3 linked regions of the Stegostoma tigrinum genome follow. The protein of the gene in region 3 interacts with the protein of the main gene of each other region in a biochemical or structural test. Links are inferred from orthologs where the notes say so. Each region holds a gene or a part of one and is shown on either strand. Other genes may lie near its edges.

Region 1 (8,080 bases), on a different chromosome or scaffold from region 3:
ATGTTACCAGTTAGTGGTCTCCCCCACCCCTGAACATGTTAATAAGGCCACGTGGAGAGATTTCACCCTGAAGCCATTCAGTGGAAGAATGCCATCTCAAGAGATGAAGAGGTGGCAGTGAACTGTGCCTTTATAAGAGACACTTCTCTCCAACTGCAGCTAGCTAGTTGGGAGAGCTGAAGATGTGTGGAGCGGGGGGTGTGGGGGGATGCGGTGGCATGATATATTCTTAACCCACTGTTCACCTCCCATTTGTTAAAGCGAAGCAAACAAAAAAGCTTTCCGGAAAAAAAAACTACAAAATGGCTCAGTTCAAATGCCTTTTTGTGATCCTGATTTGGTTGGACGAGCCCCATTTGCTTCTCTTGCTTTCTGTGCCCCTCCCAGAGCCACATCTCCCCTCCCCCATCTCCTCGACTCCCAGAAGTTTCACAATAACTTGATGCATAACACCAGTCTACTTAAGGCTACATTGTCAACAGCACTGAAAACAAATTTCTTGACAAAAAGACTGAGTGATTTACAGTTACTGTAATCTCCAGGGTCTTTATTATAACCTTCTCAAAATAAATGAAGCATTGAATAATAAATTAAGAAAACACACATTTCTGCAGCAATATTTAAGTTTGTAAAAAAATACTGTCCATTTTTTTTTCGTTTCCCTCCCCTTCCAAAAAAAATGGCTTCAACACAGACTATCATGTAAACGATAAATTGGCATTGTAGTGGCAAGTAAACAGCAAACAAATGAACTGTTTTTTTTTAAAAAAAGAGAATGTAACCACCTTTTGAGAAATGCTTTAGTCGCACACACAGACACAAACATGCACACAAACACATGCGTACACGTTCCACCCTGCAATGTCCAAACATTTGAGAGACAGAGGCTGGCAGGAGGGGGGTGGGTGGGAAGGTGACGCAGTCATGAAGATCTCGTCAAGGCTGGAGGAATGTTAAATCTTTTGTGTTAAGACTACTGTCCCTGGTTTTAAGTTACAGTCCTGGGGTGGGGGGTGGTTGTGGGTGGGATTGGGGGGGTGGTAAATCACTGCAACTCTTTGAAAACTGAATGAATCAAACTGATACATACATCATCATACCACACATCACTCAAAACTAAAATGACTGTTTTTGTGTTAGTGTTGGTAGGTGAGAACAAAAAGAATGGTGATTATATAATTCCTTTAACTGTCTTCACAATGCTTTTGAGGAAAACATAACAGATTTTTCTCACTCCCTCTCTCTCCTCAGAACAATTCTGCTTCAAAAAAAAGTTAACCCATACATTTCTCTTTCAAAATAAAATGTGCTTCATTCAAAATAAAACACCCAGATGGTGTGATCAAATTTTCTGCTTGCGGGTGCTCCACTGTTTTCTGAACGGTTTGTTTCGGTTTTCTTTTGTTTTTTTTTAAATTAAAAATGAACATTTAACAGGCCACTAAAGACATTGAAAGTTACATGTACAGAGTGGTTACATGTGCAGTGAAGGAGTTATCAAACAACATGATTTAAACAAAAAAAAGTCACTCAGTTGATGAATGGATATTTAAAATCTAAAAACAACAGATTATTTCTCGCACTCTCTCTCGCGTTGCAAAGAATAAATCTTTCTGAGTTCAGTAGATGGAAGTCTTTTTTTGCGTTGTTTTTCCTTTCCAGAATCCTTTTCAGTACACACTCTCTCAGCAGCTCACCCGACTGGTTTGCTGTTTACAAATAAAGTCAGTCATGAAATCGAACTCATTCTGTCCCAGCCACAGCTCAGGCAGTTCCTTGATGCGATCCAAACCCAGTTCAATCACCAAGGACATGAGGACCTCTTCGTCGATGAAGTCCGTGTCTATGGCATTGGGGGGCAGCATTGTTGCAGACATGTGGTGACTCGCTGGCATTGAAGAGCTATGATGTTTTACTTCCCTGTACTGTTGTTGTTGGTGACCCAAGGCGCTAGCGGGATGCAGGTCCGTCATGCTGTAGTGTTGCTGCTGGTGGCCGTAGTACTGGTTGGTCAGCTTTTGTAAATGCATGCTGGCCGCAAGCTGCGCTGCAGGGCTGCCCCCAGCCACTCCTTGTCCCATATACTGGGGATGGGGAGGATGGGAGTGATGTTGTTGCTGCTGCCTAGATGTGTACCTGATGTTGGGGGGCATGTTATTCAGATGACCGACTGGAACCCCCTGCCTGCTGCCGGGGACCAGCGCATGCCTCAAGCCGCCGCTGGAGGAGTTCACGTTGCTGGGTCCGGGGTAATGCAGCAAGGAGGTAGCGGCCGGGTGCTCACTCATCAAGCCGCTGTAGGCGTGCTGGTGCTGGGGGTAAGGGTTCAGGTTCATCCGGCGGACGTGGAGCCCGCTATGCCCCTCCGGGAAACGTCCGTGGCTCATCATACGCTCGGCCATCGCCCCGTCCAACTTCAATGCAGAGAGGGGAGGGGGTGGGAAATAAAGAAATGCACTCGTGAATGAAAGAAGGCAAGACAAAATAACAACAATTGCAAAATATATGGAAGAATGCAAACTGGACAGCTCGCAACTCCATGAATTCTCCCATGAGCAACTTTGTCCAAACCTTTTGCAAAGCCAAGACTTAAAAAATATACAATTTGCAACTTACCTCTTTTGCAACAAATGCACTTTCTCTCCTCCTCTGCTTTCTCACTGATCTCTGGGCAAAGAAAGAGAATAATATTGATTATTCTGCTTTTCTGCCTTTGCACATTCACCAACTCTCTATGTACAGACTATTCTCAGCCGCACTCTTCCTTATGCCCCTGTCTCTCTCTCTCTCTCTCTATATATATATATATAAATATGTTCGTGCTGCTAAGCTAGAGGATCAGACGTCGCAAACTCGCAAGGATTAACCAACAAAAGATGTTCACTCGGCTGCCTCGGCCACTCTTAATATAGGGCTCCTGAGGCCAGACTGAACACCCGGCATAGACTTTCTCTGGAATGTGGATCTGGATCAGGAAGTCAAACCGAATACCAGGTGCCAGAATCTCCTCCTTCGCTCACGTAACTATTGCAGAACAGGGAAATGCAAAAGAACATTAAAAAATAAAGACGTAGAACGCAGCAACAGATTCGTTCATATAAAAAAACAAATGCAGATGCAGGGGCAAATTACTGCAGATACTGGAATCTATACTGAATACAAAAAAATGCTAGAAATCACAGTGGGTCGGGCAGCGTCAGCTCTGATGAAGAGTTGTCTAGACTGGGAGCATTAGCTTGCTGTCTTTCTCCGTGGATGCTGTGTGACCAGCTGTGATCTTTAGCAATTTTTGTTTCCAGCGAAGAACTGCAGATGCTTGGAATCTGAAGCAAAAACAGAAATTGCTGGAAAAACTGTGGAGGGAGAAACAGAGTTAATGTTTTGAGTCCAGCGCCTGTGCTTCAAAACAGTCTAATTGTACAGAATGCGTTATTTGCATCGTCTATCCATGACGGTATCATGTATTTACTAGGAGAAAGTGCAGGAGAAACTCACACAAACAGAAATTGTTGGAGAAACTCAGCAGGTCTGGCAACATCTGTAGAGAGAGAAAGCAGAGTTGACAACCCAAGTCTCATGTAAGTCGCCTTCAGAAATGACCTTTTGGAGTTCTGGAAAAGACCATTGGATCGTAAGAACTGTGAACAGGCATAGGCCATTCAGCCTGACAAGCCTACCTGGCCATTCACTGGGATCATTGGTCGATCTGACATCCCTCATATCTACTTTCCTGCCTTTTCCGTATCCCTTAATTTCCTGGCTGATCATGAGTCTATCCATCTCAGCCTCAAACAGAAACAGAAATTGTGGAGAAACTCAGCAAGTCTGGTAGCACTTGTAGAGAGAAAGCAGAGTTAAAATTTTGAATCCTTTTTAAACCCTTCTTTCAGATTTTCAGCGTTCTCAGTATTTTGCTTTTGTTTTATGCCCATATTTAATAGTGTCTTTTTAAAAAAAGGTTTTTGCTGGATTAAGAAAGGAAAAAATGACCAATTTGCATTTCCACATCACCACCATCCGGAAAGATTGAAGCTCTCCTTCCTTCGGATCCTTCACTGCCTTTCATTTCCCTTAGTGTCTTGCAGGTTTCCTATGCTACAAAAAGAAAGAATTGCATTTGTGTAGCATCCTTCACAACCGCCAGAGATCCTGAAGCACTTTACAGCCAATGAAAATCTTTTTAAAAGTGTAGTTGCTGTTGTAATGTAGAGAACGTGCAGCTAATTTCTGCACAGCAAGCCCCTAGAAACAGATAATGACCATGTAGTCTGTCTCAATGATGTTGATTGAAGGATGGTTATGGCCCAGGACACCAGGGAGAACTGCTTTCCTTCAAAATAGCTCTATGGGATCTTTAACAGTGTACCTCCCTAACAGTGTACCAGTTTAATACCTCATCTGAAACATGAACCTGTAGCAGTGAAGTGCTCTGTCCATTGGGACTGTCAGGTGAGCCATTGTAATCAAAGTCTAGGAGAGGGACTTGAACCCACAATGTACCTGACTCAGCAGCTAACAACCGAACCCCAGCTAACACACTGACTGCATGCTTCCCCGAGCCTTTCATCAGCTGGCCTCTTTGTACCTAAATGGCACCCTAAGTAGTGACTTGCAAACTTTTATTGTACTTATCTGAGTACATGTGACAATAATTCTAATCCTAATTCTAACAGAATGGTTTTCAATTTAGCAGTCAAGCCCCACTTGGCGTTCTTGTGGTAGGACAAAAGCTGAGAGCTCAAATCCAACCTCAGGACCTGATGGGTTACAGAGCATGGGCCATAATGTGACCAATACAGGCTGATTACCAATCTGGAAATCCTTCTGATTTGGCAGACACTAAGGTGGGAACAAATCTCCTGGTCAACCAGAACCATGTGGCAGGTGCAACGTAGGAGCCTTGCTGCATTAAAACACTCCATGTACAGGTACCTGCCATGTGTGGTCACTGTTGTCATTTTGTGGGACAAACAAACACACACAGACACACACACACACACACACACACACTCACCCACTCGCACAAGCCCATGCACACTCACCCACCTGCACACACACATCCAAGCACATGCATACTCACCCACACACACACACACATACAAATACACATGCACACTTACCCACATGCACACACTCACCCCTCCCACACACACACTCACCACTTGCACACACGCACCCATGCACACGCATACTCACCCACATGCCCATAAACACACACACACATACCACACATACACACGCACTCGAACACATATACACACATACCACACACACACGCATGTGCACATACACCACACACACCTATACACACAGACACACACACTCCCAGCCCACTTCTCTTTTTCTCACCCAGTATTGTACAGACCTGCACTGCCCAGTATGGGAGTCACTGGATTGCTGCGCTTCCCCACCCTCACACTACATTAATACTGAAACCAGTTACACAGACCCAGCTGACTCAGGTGTGGCACCGACCTGGTCGTCATCTCACTCAATATGATGCACTTGGGCACTGACAGAAACTCATATCTTTAAATGGCCATCACCGTTATGAGGTTTCACCCTTGAGACTTTTATTCTGTTTTTTTGTGAATTGGTTGACGTCTTGAGCAAGAATCTGCTCTCAGTGTTATTTTGTTAGCAGGACAGCAATGATTTTGCTTGATTCTTAAAAGTATGCAGCGTAGGAAAGCAGGTTTATACTCAATACTGGCCTGTCATTTCTATTTATAATCAGCATGTAGCTCTACTGGCTATTTTGAGCAATTTCCATTTTTATTTCAGTTTTTTTTAACATTTGAAATGTTCTCTTTTTAACTCATTACGGATAATTTGAATGAAAAAAACCATCTCTCTGTTAAGATAATCAGTTTAGTGGGAACATAATGGTCCCAGTCAGACCTCATTACAGATGGATCAAATGCTGTACCTTGCTGCTCCTTTGGCAATTTGAAGAAAATAATTATTTTTTGAAGTATCACTGACTATCGCAAATTAATTAATTGTTCTTATTGAACACAGTTGCATTGAATCTTAAAGGAAAATTGTACTGTCATGGACCTTTGTAACTGAAAAAACATTAAACCTAATATTTTTTAAAATTGCAATTTGATTGTATCATTTGTGACCACAGGAGGTCCCTAGGTGCTTTATAGCCTGAGAACTACATTTTGAAGTGCAGTTGCTATTACAATTTAGGAAATGCGGCAAGCATTTGTGCACAGCAAGGTCCCACAAACCACAATGTGAAAATGACCAGATAATCTGTCTTCAGTGACTCAGACAAATATTGATCAGGGCATTGGGACAAACTTGAAACAAACAAGTGAAATGTGCAGAAACTCACCAGATCTAGCAGCATCTGTGGAGAGAGAAACAGAGTGAACATTTTAAGTCTAGAATGACTCTTCTTCTGAATAAGATGGAATTAATTCAGTTTTGCAGAAGTCACACCGGATTTAAAATGCTCACTCTGTTTCTCCATACATACCAGACCTGCTGAGTTTCTCCATCATTCTACGTGTTTGTTTCAGATTTATCTGCAGCATTTAGCTTTTATTGGGGGGAATGTACCTGCTTGCCCCATGCTGGCCTGTAAATGGAAAAGACTTTGGTTTACATGTTATCTGAAATGCAGCATTCCTGACAGCATGCACTTCTTCTATACTGTACTGATGCATCGACATTGAATTCGGTGCTCAGTCTCTGAACTCACAAAATTCTGACTCAGAATGCTGAGGGTGGAGTGTGGCGCTGGAACACAGAACATAGGCTGGAAAGCTGGGGGAAGGAATACTAGAAGCAGGAATACATCCTTGCTCAGATCTGGTGCATTGCTGACAATGACCTTCAGGCATGATAGGTGTTTGTGAGACAGTGATCTATTGTTGGCTGATGAGGGAGGGATCTAATCAGGAAAACAAGGAGGGGTTTTAGATGAGATAGAACTGCCAAAGCTGGAGTCTGAGGTAATAAGGTGTGGAGCTGGCGGAACACAGCAGGCCAGGCATCATTAGAGGAGAAGGAAAGCTGACATTTCGCGTCGGGACCCTTCTTCAGAAATGGACTTTAGCTGAGGTATGACTGTCAAAAGGGACTGCTGGAAGAACACAGTCGTAAGCTTTGTATGAGCAGTTGGGTGAAGACACAGCCTGAGAGAAACACAGCCAGAGTAAGTGGGTGTTTCTGGGAATTTGGAGCACAGTGGGAATTTGGAGAGGGGAAGAGGTGATTCTTTTGCTTTATTTGTCATTTATAGTAAGGACTGTATTCCATTGGCAGTGGAACAGTGGCTCAGTGGTTAGCACTGCAGCCTCACAGCGCCAGGGGCCCAGGTTCGATTCCATCTTCGGGTGACTGCCTGTGTGGAGTTTGTACATTCTCCTTGTGTCTGCATGGGTTTCCTCCAGGTGCTCTGGTTTCCCCCTGCAGTTCAAAGATGTGCAGATTAGGTGCATTGGCCATGGGCAATGCAGGGTAATAGGTCGGGTGAGTTTTAGAGGGTCAATGTGGCCTTGATGGGCCAAATGGCCTGCTTCCATGTAGGGAATCTATGATTCTGTAATAGCAAGGATTAAGGGCCTCTGAGTAATTGATATTATTTGAAATTAAGCATCTTCCAAAAGGATTAATTTGAAAGGTGTAACTCATGGCAGGAGAGCTCAAATACATGGTGTGCTCTTCCTGAACTATATGGGAAGCCAGGATCATTTCCAGTCCTCAGGACCAGCATGTTGCAGCAAGTGAGTCCAGTTCCAACGCTTGAAAGCTAAGACTTTGGAGTTGGGTGACACTGTGGAGCATTCACAGGACAGGCAGTGTGGTGGAGAGCATATATAAAGAGGTGGTCATGCCAAAGGCTAAGACTCCACAGGGAGGAAGGGGCTGGGCAACCGCCAGGCCAACTAAGAGGATCAGGCAGGCAGTGCAGGAGTCTTCTGTGGCTTTGCCCCTGCAAAACAGATACGTCACTGCAAATACTGTTGGGGAGAATGGCTTCTCAGGGAAAGCGGCAGCAGCCAAATTGGTCACACCATGGTTGGTCTTACTGCATAGAGGAAGAGGAAAAGTTGCGGGAATG
Region 2 (8,014 bases), on a different chromosome or scaffold from region 3:
CCTGCAGTGCCACAATGATGCCATCCGAAGGTTGCAGGAATAGCAACTCAGGAATAGCAGGAATAGCTTGGGAACCCTGCAGCCCAATGGTATCAATGTGGACTTCACCAGCTTCAAAATCTCCCTTACCCCCACCGCATCCAAAAACCAGCCCAGTTCGTCCCCTCCCCCCAGTGCACCACACAACCAGCCCAGCTCTTTCCCTCACCCTACTGCATCCCAAAACCAGTCCAGCCTGTCTCTGCCTCCCTAACCTGTTCTTCCTCTCACCCATCCCTTCCTTCCACCCCAAGCTGCACCTCCATTTCCTACCTACTAACCTCATCCCACCTCCTTGACCTGTCCGTCTTCCCTGGACTGACCTATCCCCTCCCTACCTCCCCATCTATACTCTGCTCTCCACCTATCTTCTTTTCTCTCCATCTTTGGTCCGCCTCCCCCTCTCTCCCTATTTATTCCAGAACCCTCTCCCCATACCCCCCTCTGATGAAGGGTCTAGGCCCGAAACGTCAGCTTTTGTACTCCTAAGATGCTGCTTGGCCAGCTGTGTTCATCCAGCTTCACACTTTATTATTTTGGATTCTCCATCATCTGCAGTTCCCATTATCAGTGAAATATTCATTTAATATTTCTCCCATCTCCTGAGGTTCAACACAAAGTTGACCTTTTGATCTTTAAGAAGCCCTACTCTCTCTAGTTGCTTTTTTGCTTTTTATATACTTGTAGAATCTCTTTGGATTACCCTTAGCCTTGGCAGATAAGGTTATCTCATACTCCCTCCTAGCCTTACTGATCCCCCTCTTAAGAATGCCCTTACACTCTCTATACCATTCAAGAGGTTCATTTGAACCCAGTTGCCTATGTCCAATACATGATTCTTTTTATTCTTGACTAGAATCTCAATATCTTTATTCATCCTTTGTTCTCTAATCCTACCAGTCTTATCCTTCACTCTCACAGGAACATGATGCCTCTGAACTCACACTATCACACTTTTGAAAGCCTCCCACTTGTCTGATGTCCCTTCACCTGCAAACACTCTATCCAATCAATTTTTGAAGTACTTGTCACATACCATTAAGATTTGACTTACTCCCATTGAAAAATTTAACTTTTATGGAAGGCATATCCTTTTCCATGACTATTTTAAAACAAATAGAATTATGACCAATAGTCCCAAAGCGTTCTCCTGCTATCATGTACAGCCATGGATTTCAGACGCAGTATATTCATTTACTCCACACTAATCTTTATATTATTTCAATCTTCACATTTTCAATTCGGGGCACTCCCAACATTCTCTTAATGGATTTAAAGGACTGATATTTCAGCCAATCACAGTTTATTGCCTTGATACCTTTAGGACATTCAAACAAACTCAATAGACGCATTCACCCAGACATGCAGAGACAGAGACAGGCAGGGGCGGAGACAGAGATTGGCAGGCAGGGGCAGAGACAGAGACAGGCAGGGGCAGAGACAGAGACAGGCAGGGGCAGAGACAGGCAGGGGCAGGGGCAGAGACAGAGACAGGCAGGGGCAGGGGCAGAGACAGGCAGGCAGACACTGCTGTGTCATTTTGAATCATTGACCAATGTAGCACAGGATGCCATTCAGCCCATTGTATCTTTGTTGACTCTTTCAAAGTGCAGTTGAATTGGTTCTACTCTCCTGGCCTTTCCTTCTTTATCCAAACTGAAAGACAGGGCTCAACAATCACTAAAACTCATGGGAAGTGATACTCTCTCCAGCTGCCTCTGGTATTATTTAATATTCGTGCCACTTGAAACAGCTTCTCCCTGATCTATTTCACTAGCATCTACTCACTGGCAGTTAGTGATGGACAATAAATACAGTCCTTGCCAGCAACTTCCACGTCCCAGAAATGTAGAAAAGAATCAAAACTGTCAGTTTTGAACAACTTGATCAAATATCACCGTAACCAGCGCCTGCTCTGAAAGATTAGCCCAGTATCTCCAGTTTTGTGCCAACACCACCACTTCCCTTTGTGGCTGCTGTTGGCCTTACATGACCTCATTGTTAGACTCTTCCAAGAGGTCACCCATCCCTCAAATTCAACTCGCCAGGGGCATTGCAAAGACAGCTCTCATGGCTTCGGCAAGATGTGCCACAGTTCTGGACTTGAGCCACTCAGTCCCCAGTTACAGGCCAAAGCACGGCACGCACACATGGGAGACCACAGCAGCGAGGACAGCGCCCTCTGATTGTACAAAACCCACCGACCGAGCAACTCACACTGAACAGTGACCGTGGGATGTTACACTAAACCACCCTGTCAAAGGGGGGCGCACTGGGCAGTACCCACCCAGGCACAGCAACAGCCTGGCACAAGAGCTAGCAGCAAGTACACAAGCACCAGGCCCACGAGGGGCCGACTCTCCCCGGGGCGCAGTTCTAAATGACTCAGAATGATATGGTATGAGTTTGAGATCACCCTTGTATTTCATTAAAATGCCATCCTGTATCACAACCCAATACTTGTTCCCTCCTGATCCTCCTCGCCAGAGTAACTACCCTCAGGCCAAAGCCCAAGGTGTGGGCCAACCTTTGCACAGGAAGACTTCACAGGCAGATCTTACCTTGCATCCAGCAGGAGGCAACACTGACTTCCCACAAGATCTGTGATTCCCAGTCGGACATCAGCTGATTCTCCGTTTGCCGAATCCTGTGGCCAGGCAGGCGGCAGGAATTTGGATTGGTAACGTTTGGAGCCAATGACTCGATGAGGGGCTGACTGTCATGACCCAGATTTGTGGGAATCTCGGGATTTGGGATCAATGTTGGGAAGTGTTACTCAATCCCACGAGGATAACAGCAGGAAACTTTCCAGCCTTCGGGAAGATGAAGACTAATCCTTTAATAGACAGGGGTTATTGGGGCTGACACAGCTTGTCGCTGAATCTCCTGCGTTGCAAAAGCGTTGCACATCACAAGCATAACATTCACTGAGAAGTGTTTTGCAACCTCTGAGGATGTGCAAGGTGCTACAGTAGTGCAACACTCTGCCTTTTTTAAAGTAGGGAAAACATCCAACTCTTTCCCCTCCCACCCACCTCCTCACAGAAGGCTTCAAAAACATGGACCTTGGCTCCAGGCACAAACATAATAAACAGAGCAACAGAGCGCACGGACCTTGATTTAATATGAAACTAAACGTTTCAAAATGAACACAATCCACTTGGTGCCTGTGCTACTTTCTAGCAAGTAGCTTCAATCCATTTTTAATTTACTTGCTCGTTTCTAAATACAGAATATTTCTCATTATTTCGTGGGGGGCACTGAGGTGAAGCACAGCCTTTCTTTAAAATTTTCTGGAACAGCATGACAAAAAAAAGTAACATCGCAAATTATACTGGATTTTATAGCCTAGAGACAGGCCAGTTGGCCCAAATAAACCATGTTAGGGTTTGTGGTACACATCAACCTCCTCCCACCCTCAGTCTCAAGCCTTTCTATTTGTCCCTCCCTTATCTTGGAGGGTTTAAGCCACAGGGAGGGGCTGAACTGGCTGGCGCTATTTTCCCTGAAACGTCGGAGGCCGAGGGGGTGACCTTGCAGAGGTTTATAAAATCATGAGGGGCCTGGATAAGGTGAATAGATAAGGTCTTTTCCCTGGGGTGGGGGGGATTCCAAAACTCGAGGATATAGGTTTAAGGTGAGGTGGGGTCAGTAATATTTAACAGGAACCTAAAGGGCAATCATTTCACACGGAGGGTGGTATATGTACGGAACGAGCTGCCAGAGGAAGTCGGGCAGGCAGGTACAATTACTGTATTTAAAAGGCATCTGGATGAATAGAAAGAGTTTAGAGGGAAATGGGCCAAATGCTGGCATATGGGACTAGATTAATTTAGGATATCTGGTTGGCGCGGATTAGTTGGACCAAAGGGTCTGTTTCTGTGCTGTACATCTCTGTGACTCTATGTAGCTCTCTCTGCAATTTATCCTCTCCCAGTCTCAGTGAGCGAACTACAGTGGGTTTCCTCGTGTAGTTCCGGTTTCCTGTGAATGAGCCACATTTTTCTGGCTGTTTGGATCAGGATTTCTCCTGAATTCCCAAATAGATTTGATCCTAGTTCATTCAGATGTTCCTAAATGTGACTCCACCCACAATCGTAGAATCCATAGCGTCCCTACAGTTTGGAAACAGACCCTTCGGCCCCACAAGTCCGTGCTGACCCTCAGAGCATCCCATCCAGACTCATCCCTCTGTAGCCCACCTGATCTAAACACCCCTGAACACTACGGGCAATGTAGCACGGCCGATCCACCCAGCCTGCACATCTTTGGACTGTGGGAGGAAACCGGAGCACCCGGAGGAAACCCACGCAGACACGGGGAGTATGTGCAAACTCCCCACAGACAGTTGCCCGAGGCGGGAATCGAACCCGAGTCCCAGGCGCTGTGAGGCTGCAGTGCTAACCACTGAGCCACCGGGCCACCCTTACAAACCTCAGATACAGGAAATACAGGTCATCATGTGAGGGTTCAGTCAGGGAGACACACAGAGCAATAGGGAGACACTATGGTGTCCTTATCAATATTGCTGTCCACTGTGAGTACACCCCCAAAATCAGCAAAAGGTCACCATCAACCAGGTACCTACACACCAACAAAGCAGTCAGTCACACAGAGGGCAGAAATACTCAGTGACAGAGTTAGAAAACTACACTGTGGAAAAAGACCCTTCGGCCCCACAGAGTCCGTGCTGACCCTCAGAGCATCCCACCCAGACCCATCCCTCTATAGCCCACCTAACCTAAACATCTCTAAACCTAAACAGTCAAGTCAGTACAAAACTCTGGTGCGGCCACACTTGGAGTATTGTGTACAGTTCCGGTGACCGCATTATAAGAAGGATGTGGAAGCTTTGGAAAGGGTGCAGAGGAGATTTACTAGGATGTTGCCTGGTATGGAGGGAAGGTCTTATGAGGAAAGGCTGAGGGACTTGAGGCTGTTTTCATTAGAGAGAAGAAGGTTGAGAGGTGACTTAATTGAAACATATAAAATAATCAGAGGGTTAGATAGGGTGGATAGGGAGAGCCTTTTTCCTAGGATGGTGATGGCGGGCACGAGGGGGCATAGCTTTAAATTGAGGGGTGAAAGATATAGGACAGATGTCAGAGGTGGTTTCTTTACTCAGAGAGTAGTAAGGGAATGGAACGCTTTGCCTGCAACGGTAGTAGATTCGCCAACTTTAGGTACATTTAAGTCGTCATTGGATAAGCATATGGACGTACATGGAATAGTGTAGGTTAGATGGGCTTGAGATCGGTATGACAAGTCGGCACAACATCGAGGGCCGAAGGGCCTGTACTGTGCTGTAATGTTCTATGTTCTATTAGATGCTGGGAAGTGCAGGTGAAGTATTGCTTCAAAGTGCTAATTGTCCACATCCCACAAAAGAACATGAAGTCTTTAGAATTGTACCAGGAAACAAAACAATTTCCCCCATCACAAGGCTTTTAATTTTTTGATTTGCAGGAACTAGTTCTTTATTTTCACTAACCATTTATTAGGTGTTGGCCCGCAGTAAAAGTTGTCGTGACCATATCATTTTATTTCTCTGATTATTGACTGAAATGGGAAGAAGATTGTTTTAAAGACCAGGGATTGTTGAAGGAGTGCTGCACATTCTAAAGCAGGTTATCGACACTCATCACAAGTGGCGTCTACACAGCTATTTGTTCAAGCAGAGGAGCTGGTTACTGATGAGCTGGACACAGACCGTGCACACAGTCACTGCCTGGTCGGTGGACTCTGACCAGTTGTCAATGATAAAGGCCTTCTGCCTGTCAACAGCACTCTGATTGGCTCGGGGCCTAATGTGACTTGATTTTCAGTACACGACCCCAGTGAGGTGTGACACAAGAATGTGTAGACATACACAGCATTCAGACTCAGACAGAAGCAGAATTAGAAGAATTCATCAATATCCTAAATAATCAATACCCTGATTATTCTAGAGATAGTAGGACCACACTCCCCTCCAACCCCACCACACTCGACACATTCCCCTGCAACCACAGGAAATGCTATACCTGCCCCTACATGTGCCCCTGCACCCTCATCCCAGGCCCCAAGAGACCTTCCACATCAAGCAGATGTTCACCTGCACAGCTGCCAATGTGGTATACTTTATCGCTGTTCTCGATGTGGCCTCCTCTACATCAGAGAAACCAAGCGGAGGCTTGGGGACTGCTTTGCAGAACACCTACCCTCGGTTCGCAATAAACTACTGCACCTCCCAGTCGCGAGCTTTTTCAACTCCCCCTCCCATTCCTTAGACGACATGTCCATCATGGGCCTCCTGCAGTGCCACAATGATGCCACCCGAAGGTTGCAGGAACAGCAACTCATATTCTGCTTGGGAACCCTGCAGCCCAATGGTATAAAGTGGATTTCACCAGCTTCAAAATCTCCTCCCCCACGACCAAATCCCGAAACCAGCCCAGCTCGAGCCCACCTCCCTAACCTGTCCTTCCTCTCACCTATCCCCTCCTCTCACCTTAAGCTGCACCTCCATTTCCTACCTACTAACCTCATCCCACCCCCTTGACCTGCCCGTCCTCTCTGGACTGACCTATCTCCTCCCTACCTCCCCACCTATACTCTCCTTTACTGGCTCCATCCCTGCTTCTTTGAACTGTCTGTCTCCTCTCCACCTATCTTCTCCTCTATCCATCTTCTTTCCACCTCCCCCTCTCTCCCTATTTATTTCAGAACCCTCCTTCCCCTCTCCCATTTCTGAAGAAGGGTCTAGGCCCGAAACATCAGCCTTCCTGTTCCTCTGACTCTGCTTGGCCTGCTGTGTTTATCCAGTTCTACACCTTGTTATCTCCTGATTATTCTACATTTCTCACGAGAGAAAGCCACAGCTGATAAGGAAAGCATTAATTTCATGGACACAAAGTGTTTTAATTGGGAGACAACAGGTACATGCTAACAAAAATATTCAAAATCAGACACGCGCACACACCTACATACATGAAGCCATCGCCCTAGCCACATCTTCTCCATTAATCATACGTACAGCGGGAGGATTTCAACCAGGAAGTTATTGTATCTCTGATCTCAATCTCAGATTAAGATTTAATAATTGCTAATGTTGATTACTGTGGCATCCACTGCACTTCTCCCCAAATCACAGTTAATGAAAACTGGCAGATGTAAGTGAGAGATTTAACACGCTTTTGCAAGAGGTTCATTTCCTCAGAGATATCAAAGTTTTCCCAGTTCCGAATTAGTAGAGTTTTCCTTTGCTGACTGGTTCCCTCTCTTCCCGCTGCATCTCTCCTTTAATGCATCCCATCCCTCTCATCACCCGCCACGCAGCCCCCTGCTGCGTGCCCGCCTCACCCGCCACGCAGCCCCCTGCTGTGCGCCCGCCTCACCCGCCACGCAGCCCCCTGCTGCGCGCCCGCCTCACCCGCCACGCAGCCCCCTGCTGCGCGCCTGCCTCACCCGCCACGCAGCCCCCACACGGTGGTTTTTTTTTATCTTCCACTCTCCTCCGATCCATCCTCACACTCGTTCTCTCCCCACATTCCCTCTTTGCAGCTCCCACCCCAATCCCCGCAGACATTTTCATTCTCAATGGCAGACAGACTCCAACACCCCCACTGCAGCCCAACCCTAGACTCAGGGTGTGGAATATGAACAGATGTCTCCCTGGTTCTGCCACCCTGCCAAGTTTTTGCTCACTCACGTCACAAACCATGGGCCCTGGTTCTCCACCTGTGCTGGTAGCATATCAATTCCAGGTACAGGAAGCTTCTCTGATGATTCTGCCTTGACTTTTAACTGCATTATTATACTTAATGACTTTGACAGAACCTTTCTTCTTTGCAAAGATAGTGCAACATACTCAGTAATACTCTCTGCCTCCATGCATACACCAGATCTTTAGCTCCCAACATTCCCTACCCACCCTTTCCCTATTTCAATGCCTATGACTCTCTCTAATAGCTGTCAGTCACCCTGTTAAATCCTC
Region 3 (7,920 bases):
CTTTAAAATCGGCACTTTTTAAACGAAATTAAGAGTAACATTTGGGGAGGGGGTGTGAGCATAGCCTTAAACGCAGCTACCAAGAGGGCGGATGGTTTTCATCCCGCATTAATATGCATCCTTTGTTTGCAAGGTAAGTAATAACACATTAATGATTATTCCAGGTTGTTGCAGAAGGAACGAGTTCAAATTATAATTTAAAAGCACAGCTCGCCACGGCGCTGAAAAACGAACAATTTAGTACAAACTAAACGCATGCCTTTTGTATTTTGCAATCTCGGGTCAGTAACTCAACAATGACCACTGGCATTGTAACCAGCTTTCAGCAACTCGCCACAGCTAATAAACGATTTTTTTATTTTCTCGTTGGGATTGGGGGCGGGGGCTGGGGGCAGGAATTAAGGCACATGCAGAATTTTATATATATGTTTAAAATTAATGATTCCAATTTTGAAGCTCTGGGCAAAGTCCAAATTGGAATAAGTCTGTTTTATCAAGTTGAAATATTGAATAAAGCGCACCACACAATTTCATTACTCCAAACTGTTTACATGAATGAGAGAAACTGATAGCGTTAAAAAGCAAGTGCTGGATTTAATTAAGGGAAGACGCAATTTATATTTCTAACAATGCAGAGGAGAAATTTGCTCTCATTTGATGCATGTTAATACATAACATTAATATGTATTGGTCATTTGGAAAAAATAGATTTGTTTCGCTTGATTGTCAATTTAAACTTGTCAATTTTATTTTCAAAATCTGAAGCAGATGCAGGGTTCACGAAAGCAGATTTTACCAGAGGTGGTCGTGAAGGGGTGGGTGGGTAAATGGGTTGAGAATCTCCCCTTAATTTGAAAACAGTTCACTATAGACCAAGGCAGCAGTGTAAAGTAAGAACTGCATAGGGTTTTCAAAGAACCGACCTGTACATCCTCGATGGCATGTGCGATGCTGTGGATAGGCAATGTATCCCCGAGGCCGGAGTCGAGTCCGTGGGTGCTGTGGAGGAGGACCTCGGGCCGTCGGTACTCCCTCCGCGGGTCCAGGCCGGCGAGTTGGGGCAGCCCGCGGGGCTGGTGGAGGATTCCCGCTTCCTGGTTCTGCCGCTGAGGCCAGGTCGGGTGCTGCGGCTGGGGCTGCGGGTGCAGCGAGTTCAGCGAGTAAGGGTCGTTCACATGGGAATAGGGGTCCTGCGACTGCGGGTAGATGGGCTGGTACGGAGGAGGGAAGTAGGGCGGCTGGAAGTCCGTGTTGGGAGTGTGAGAGAGCGGCGGGGCGGTCGGGTACGGAGACTGGCTGACCGTCCCTAACTGAGGCAACCGTGGAGTCCCATTGCTTGTGCCGTCATGCCGGTCCTGCAATGAAATCAGACATGTAAAGTTGTAATTTTTAAAAAATACATTATTTTATTCTTTTTTGTTAAAGAAACATCGCTGGTATGACACTTTCGTTGGCGGTGGCAAGCTTAAGTTTTACTGGCCATATTAGTAATTGTAAATTATCGCACGGGGTAGAATTCAACAAAATATTATCCTCCAAGGAGGTATGCTAGATTTTTTTTATTTTCACAATCCAAAGTGCTACCAGTTTTTGTTTTTGGGAGGGGGCGGGGGAGGCTCGTTTTAAACCTAGTGGCATCTCACTGAAACTCACCATGGCCGAGAAACTGTGCACTAACATCTGCGGGCAGTCTGATCTGAGTTCGTCAGGGGGAAAAAATAGAGAGACCTAGAGGTGGAAAATTGGAAAAAACAGTCCAGTACTATACAGCTACAACACGATCACAACGCCGGGGAGTCACATGCAGGAGGAAGGCAAGCGAATCCATCAGAACTTGAAAAATTTCTTCATTGGGAACAACACACACAAACAAAAAAAAATGATCAGAATTGTGTCTAGTTTCAGGGCGTCACGTCGGTAGATTTTTCAAACTTTTTTTTCTCTCTCTCTTTCTCCTCCTCTAAGGGCGAGCCGTGGCTTCACTCAGCACATAATAGCAGATATTCATGACTATTAATATTACACGAATACTTAATAAGGGGAGAATGGTCGGAAATCGAGCGTGAAGCGAGGAAGCAACTTAAAGCTGTGTCTGTTATAAATGACGTCCGTTGAATCAGTGTATCTAATCAGAGAGAGAGAGAGAGAGAATAGAGGGGCACACATTGCTGTTTCTGACGAATCACAGGGAAGAAGAGAACATTTTCAAGTGATCGAGGGCATGCGAAAGTGAGAGGGAGAGAGAAGGGGAGCAGGAATGGTGAGAGTCAGAGGGGGGAGAGAGAGAGACAGAGAGAAAGAGGGGAAGGAAAGAAAGAGTGTGATGCGGGAAGGAATTTGCACCTCGTTATCGTGTGAGAATCCAGCAAACGCCAAAGGCATGTCGGCGGCCACTCGCTTCCTGGCTGGAGAGCGACTACCTGCGCTCTCAGCTCTCTTCCTTTTCAGCTCTTTATCCGGAGGTGACTGCTGCCCTGATCCTGGGTCACTAGTAGTCTGATCCATCGTGCAATGGGTTAAAAGTTAAGAGACAGAGGGAGCGACAGAGACACTATGGAGTCTCCAAAGCCCTGATTCGTTTTCACGCACTTTTACGCAAGCTGCTCCCCTACTGCGATCCTAAAAAAACAACTCTCGTCTAAACTCAACTCGAAAGCGGCTCCAAACAAACGGATTTCACTTCTGATCGTAAACCTACTCCGCTGGAAGCTCGCGCCGACCCTTCATACTTTTCTTGGATTCTTATATTTTTTTTATTAATTTCCTCCCCGCGTTTTTGAAAAAAATAAAGTGAAACTAAACGGCCGCTTGGTTTAGCCCGTGGTGTGAACTGCCTTCTAGCCTGCTGTACAAACCCGTTTGACTGGCTATACAACTTCAAAACAACTCCCCAAATATTACCTCGCAAACTCTAGAGCAACTTTCTCAATCCGGGCACAATCACGGCTTTTAGCCTGAACCATCTAACGCCTTCTGCCATTTCCACACAAAAATCTTTCATCTTTACCAAGACACAATTTTGTGCAGATTTCAATGTTTCCATGTGCGTTTTTTTGTGGGGGGTAGGGTGGGTGGTTGGGGGTGGGGATTACGAACGTTTAAGCAACAAATGCAGACAGATATACAATTTGGACTAAGGCATTAGAATTGACTACAAAAGCAAACTGCTTTTCCTTGCTTGATCAAACTTGCTCTTTCCCAAGGCGTTCTGTGACAATAAGTGCAGCAAGCTTAGCGTTTTAATTTTGGTTTTACTTTCACAAACATCGCCAGCAACGCGGCCCTTTTTGAGGGTTCTGTTAAGAATTTATAGGCGAAGGATTTCAGCCAGGTTTACCAAACATTAATCATTTCAGATGCTTAATCTAGTGGACGTCGATTCTTAACTCTCGATTCCTGTATTGTTTACAAACGTGAGCTATTGCCACACAATAGAGCTGAGGTACGCACCCTGCAATCGGCGTTTGCATTATTTTACAATATTATTAAGCCGAATGGCCAAGTGCTCCATTTGTTTTTGTCATGCTGCATCTTTCTATAGAATATATAACTGTGAAAGCATACTTAATGTTTAAAATAAAACTTTGCAATATTCGGTTTAAATGAGAGTGATGTACAGCTTTTTTTCATTCGACGGGGCAGTGAAAACTGCATTTTAATTCTTTTGAATCTAATATGAAATTGCTTACCTCGCACTCCTCATATTTGATATTGTCCGCTAATTTCCACAGCATTCTCATGGATTGGTGTAAAAGTGGTTGACTGGATGTCTCAGAGAGCGGACAGTCCTGTACAGAGAGTGTGTGTTGGTTTAGCGCTCTGTATGTGCTCTGAGATCTCCCTCTAATGGTCGATCGTGTTCCCCTCTCAGCTCTTTAGTAACTCGCTAATAACAGCCCAATTAGCATATGAACACCAGCCAAACACTCATTCAACCACATTACTGCTCCAATGGATACAGGTAGAGAGCCTGCCCTGCCGCCTGGCAATGGACGTCAACATAAATACATTGGCGGTGGACAACAGCTTATAAATGTACATGGAGCTACTTGTTCTGTTACTTGTTAAACCCTCCCTTACCTTCCATTCTACCAAAGCACAAGAGTACGATGTGACTTTCTTTCTTTGGTTAACTCTTCTCCCTGCAGACATGCACTGTTTAGTTGTTAACTGATTATGCCTTCCAATGAAGGCAATAATCTTGCTGAAACACCGAACTCAGTCGTTTATTTTATAATAACAGGGCAAGTGTGCTTCACATTTTCACTATGTTAAATAGCAATAATAAATATATAGATATGACCCATATTTTGATACAACAGTTAACTTCATATTCCTCTGCGTATCAAGCACCCAACTTCATCTACATGCCCTTTTACTAAGTAAACAGTTTAGCTTAAATATTAGCTTCACAATGGATGTAGTTAAATCGAATCCGAACTGATTCCGACTTCCTTGCTTTTTGCTGATTTTTTTTAAAAAGCATCTCCTCAGGAAAATTCAAAGTAAAGACAATTTTAACATTCCCTCAGCAAGTTATTTCCCGGACACGTTTACGCTTATCAGAGCGGTAAACCTCAGTAGTGCTGAATTTCATTGATAATTAGGTGGCTTTACTACCAGTATTTAGATTCTTTCAGCGGTTGTGTCTCGTTTCCTAGCTGAGAGATTCTAGGTTTGTGAGCGAGAATTTCTTTCGGCATTTACCTTTCTTTGCTATCTGGAGGCTTTAAATAACAAGCGTGTAGAGTGTTGCACTGCAGCCATTGAGGTGGAAATCGTTTGTTATGTAGCTATTCAATTCATACGTAAACAGGGACTAAAAAAGCAAACTATTTTGAACTAACGTCGCATTGCAAACCTCTTCACAACCGCTTCATTAAAGTTATTACCATAATAAATGTCTGACTATGAATTTATGAATCGAGACAAGGTTGCACCGTTGTCTTTCATTGAAGGTGAGAAAGTGTGCAAGGGTAACTCTCAACCCAGGTAATCTGGGTGACTAGATCTAGGCGTCGTCTACAGGTAATCTTCATTACCATTTTTGGTGGAGCTCGAGGACAAAGATGTCATCAGAATCTATTGTCTTTAATTAGAGGACCGAGATATCCACCGATTCAGAACACCTCACTCCAAAAGGCCAAACGTTTTGAAATTTAAATACAAAATTATTTCTATCGCTGGAGTCACAGTCAGCTTTGGGTCTAAGAGGCGAAAATATTCAGCTGTACCTGGATTTTTAAACGTGTTTATGCAATTATTCTAAAAGCTCGCGGATCTAATTTATGTTTTTTTCTTGATGGCGTTCTGTTCTCTTAAGTCACTTGCAAAGAGTACGGCAGTATTTTTACATTTAAAAGTGATGTTCTTCCCCCCAATTTGCTCACTTTCTACTGTGAAGCACTTATTCATTACAAGCTGCTTGCATGAGCTGTGATCTCCCACTTTCATTCGAACTGTTGAAGGGGGTGTTACCTCTTAATATAACGCTGTGCATTAAAAGAGATAACGAGTTTGCAAGATCATTGATTTAAAGCACTGAACCTGCAGCTTTTCTATTTTACCTGTGTACAAATGTCGATTCTTTTAAAGAATAGATATTTTCCACATCTCCATTTTCAAATGAAAATTTGTTAATCTCATATAAACCGATGCTAGTTAATTTAGAAATCATTTAATGTTCACTTCTGTGCTGGCAGACTAGTGGAGTATAAGAATATAGTAAATGAGTTTATCTGAGAATCATACATTAAATTAACTTCTAATCGATCGCTATAGCAAAATACAATGAATAATTAAAATATATGCTCCTGTCGAATGGAAGCACTTTTTAACAGGAGAGCGGTGCTTTGCTGTTTTTATTTCTGCTTTTGTCGAGCAGTTTCTGAGCAGCCTAAACCGGTGAAATGTATTCCAACTCCTCCCCTCCCAATTTGCACTTCTTTTAATTAAATGTAATTCTATACACATGTAACCATAACAAGGTTCGCCTCGTTTTAAAATGCCAGCGATTTCTTTTGTGGCGAGGAAAATATTCACATCTGTTTATTTGGTTACAAGGTCTTGTTACCGTGGACTAGAATAAATGTAGTCCTCTCCGTTAAAGTGTGCGAACGATGGTGAAACGCCATTACTCACAATACTATCTTCTCCTTATTGATCTTTTTCAAAATATTCGCCCATTCTGACTTTTTTTCCAAAATAGGGCAAAAAGAAAAACACCTGTTACAGTCTGCATTGATTATTAAATCAACGTGTAAGTACGTGATATTTGTGCATTTAAATATTTTAACTTGGTGCACAGGTGAAGAGGACTTTTAGGACCTAGCTATCCTACAGCATTTTAGCGCCTGGCCTATACGCGTGCTTCAGATATTTTGACTTTTTTTCGTTTCGCGGGTGAAAGCATAAACAAGTTAGAGAATGGCTTTAAAGTACAGCAAATACTTCTGTTTGAATGTTACTGTCGTTATGTTTCTTGTATTGAACAATGGATTTCAATAAATCCTACCATGATAAATACCTGTATTTATATTCAGCATCTAACAAGTTCATTTTTCAATGCACGTCTTTTTGTGTCAGCTGAGACAGAATATCCCCTTATTTCAAAGCTTTAGGTCCGCCAAAAGTGTTCTAACTTTTTAAATATTATTATTGCAGCAAAGTTAGATTTGTGTCGTACATAATTCCAGTTTATAAAATACACTGAAATGTTTGGAAAATTATATAGATAACATGACTCTTGATTTGGAGCCCACAAGCAACATCCAGCTCTACACCTTGTTATCTCACATTGTTACAGACTACCTTCAATCTTTGAGAAAATCTAGGAACCATGGAACAATGGAATTAGGTTACAAGTTTTGTACCGAGCAAATAGCACATAGGCTTCACAGAAATATATTTGTATTGATACTCTATTGGTTCTAAACTTCAAATGTTTAATAATACACCAAATAAAGTTAAATCCATTGCTGCCGAAATCCAGTTGTAAAAGTTATTGTCTATTTAGTAGAATTTCCAATGAACCTGAAACAAGTTGTGTGTTTATGAAAAGGGAGTTGATAGACAAACTGCCACTCTTCAATATGAAAAAAAGTGTTTAAAAATAAAATATGAAAGAAGAAATGAAATTTAATCTGTCCTGAGAAAACGAGTTATTTCCCCAAGATTAGCGTTGTTCTACGAACATGTTAGACTAATACAACAGTCACATAATCGCTCGTTAAACTGGAGGCTAATCTTTCTTGTTTGTAATCTCATTGTGATTGACCCCAAGTTAGGAAAAGTTGTAACATGGTGATGATTACAGTGGGCTGCTTTCTATGTATCTGGAGCACAGCGCCGATAGTGAACTGACAAGAAAATCAAATCACATCGCAAAAGGGAAAAGGCAGAAAGGTTTGAGGCGTATTTATCGAGTTAACCTTTTCAGGGCCCATTCAAACAAATCAACTAAACCAAGGGTTTCGCCTGTAGTAGTGTAAATTGGATATCTAAACTTTTTTCAACCTGAGACTTTATAGAGTTTGTATTAGTTGCGTCATGCAGGTAAACACAATGTAAGTACTGATAGAAAGTTTGGACTCATTGACTTATTTGCAAATTGTAATTATTTGTCCCAATTCACTGACTTTATCCATGACGTTCGTCTACATAATGAAATATAGGCACCGCTGGAATAGGCAGCAACTTTCAATGGCTACTGGGACTTCTGTAATCATGCCAAAGGAGTGCCGTTAATAGATAAGTTCACGTACCTGCCAGTCCCCCATTTTGCCCAGAATTGACATATCGCCTGGAGTTGTCCGTGGTGTCCTCAAAAGATCTGTGAGCTGTTGAGTAATTTCTCCTTTTACCTCTCCAGGATCATCTCACCTGGTCATAAAGTGCTGGGTGCCACCTGTCCGCGCCTGC

The links. The genes of interacting proteins can lie anywhere in the genome.
Region 1: the proteins of tfap2a (region 3) and cited2 form a complex in vitro, tested with the Homo sapiens proteins (2 studies listed by BioGRID, with this or other methods). The link is inferred for Stegostoma tigrinum from reciprocal best matches to the Homo sapiens genes TFAP2A and CITED2.
Region 2: the proteins of tfap2a (region 3) and BTB/POZ domain-containing protein kctd15-like form a complex in vitro, tested with the Homo sapiens proteins (2 studies listed by BioGRID, with this or other methods). The link is inferred for Stegostoma tigrinum from reciprocal best matches to the Homo sapiens genes TFAP2A and KCTD15.

The regions. Positions count from the first base shown.
Region 1 is NC_081362.1:90,588,662-90,596,741, forward strand, and holds cited2 (cbp/p300-interacting transactivator 2), read right to left. Parts: upstream 2,927-8,080; 5' UTR 2,617-2,926; intron 2,415-2,616; 5' UTR 2,403-2,414; coding exon 1,686-2,402; 3' UTR 520-1,685; downstream 1-519. UniProt on the Homo sapiens protein: Transcriptional coactivator of the p300/CBP-mediated transcription complex. Acts as a bridge, linking TFAP2 transcription factors and the p300/CBP transcriptional coactivator complex in order to stimulate TFAP2-mediated transcriptional activation.
Region 2 is NC_081369.1:65,290,189-65,298,202, forward strand, and holds the start of BTB/POZ domain-containing protein kctd15-like, read right to left. Parts: upstream 3,020-8,014; 5' UTR 2,662-3,019; coding exon 2,601-2,661; intron 1-2,600. UniProt on the Homo sapiens protein: During embryonic development, it is involved in neural crest formation. Inhibits AP2 transcriptional activity by interaction with its activation domain.
Region 3 is NC_081358.1:44,308,098-44,316,017, reverse strand, and holds the start of tfap2a (transcription factor AP-2-alpha), read right to left. Parts: upstream 3,152-7,920; 5' UTR 2,506-3,151; coding exon 2,344-2,505; intron 1,729-2,343; coding exon 1,654-1,728; intron 1,356-1,653; coding exon 924-1,355; intron 1-923.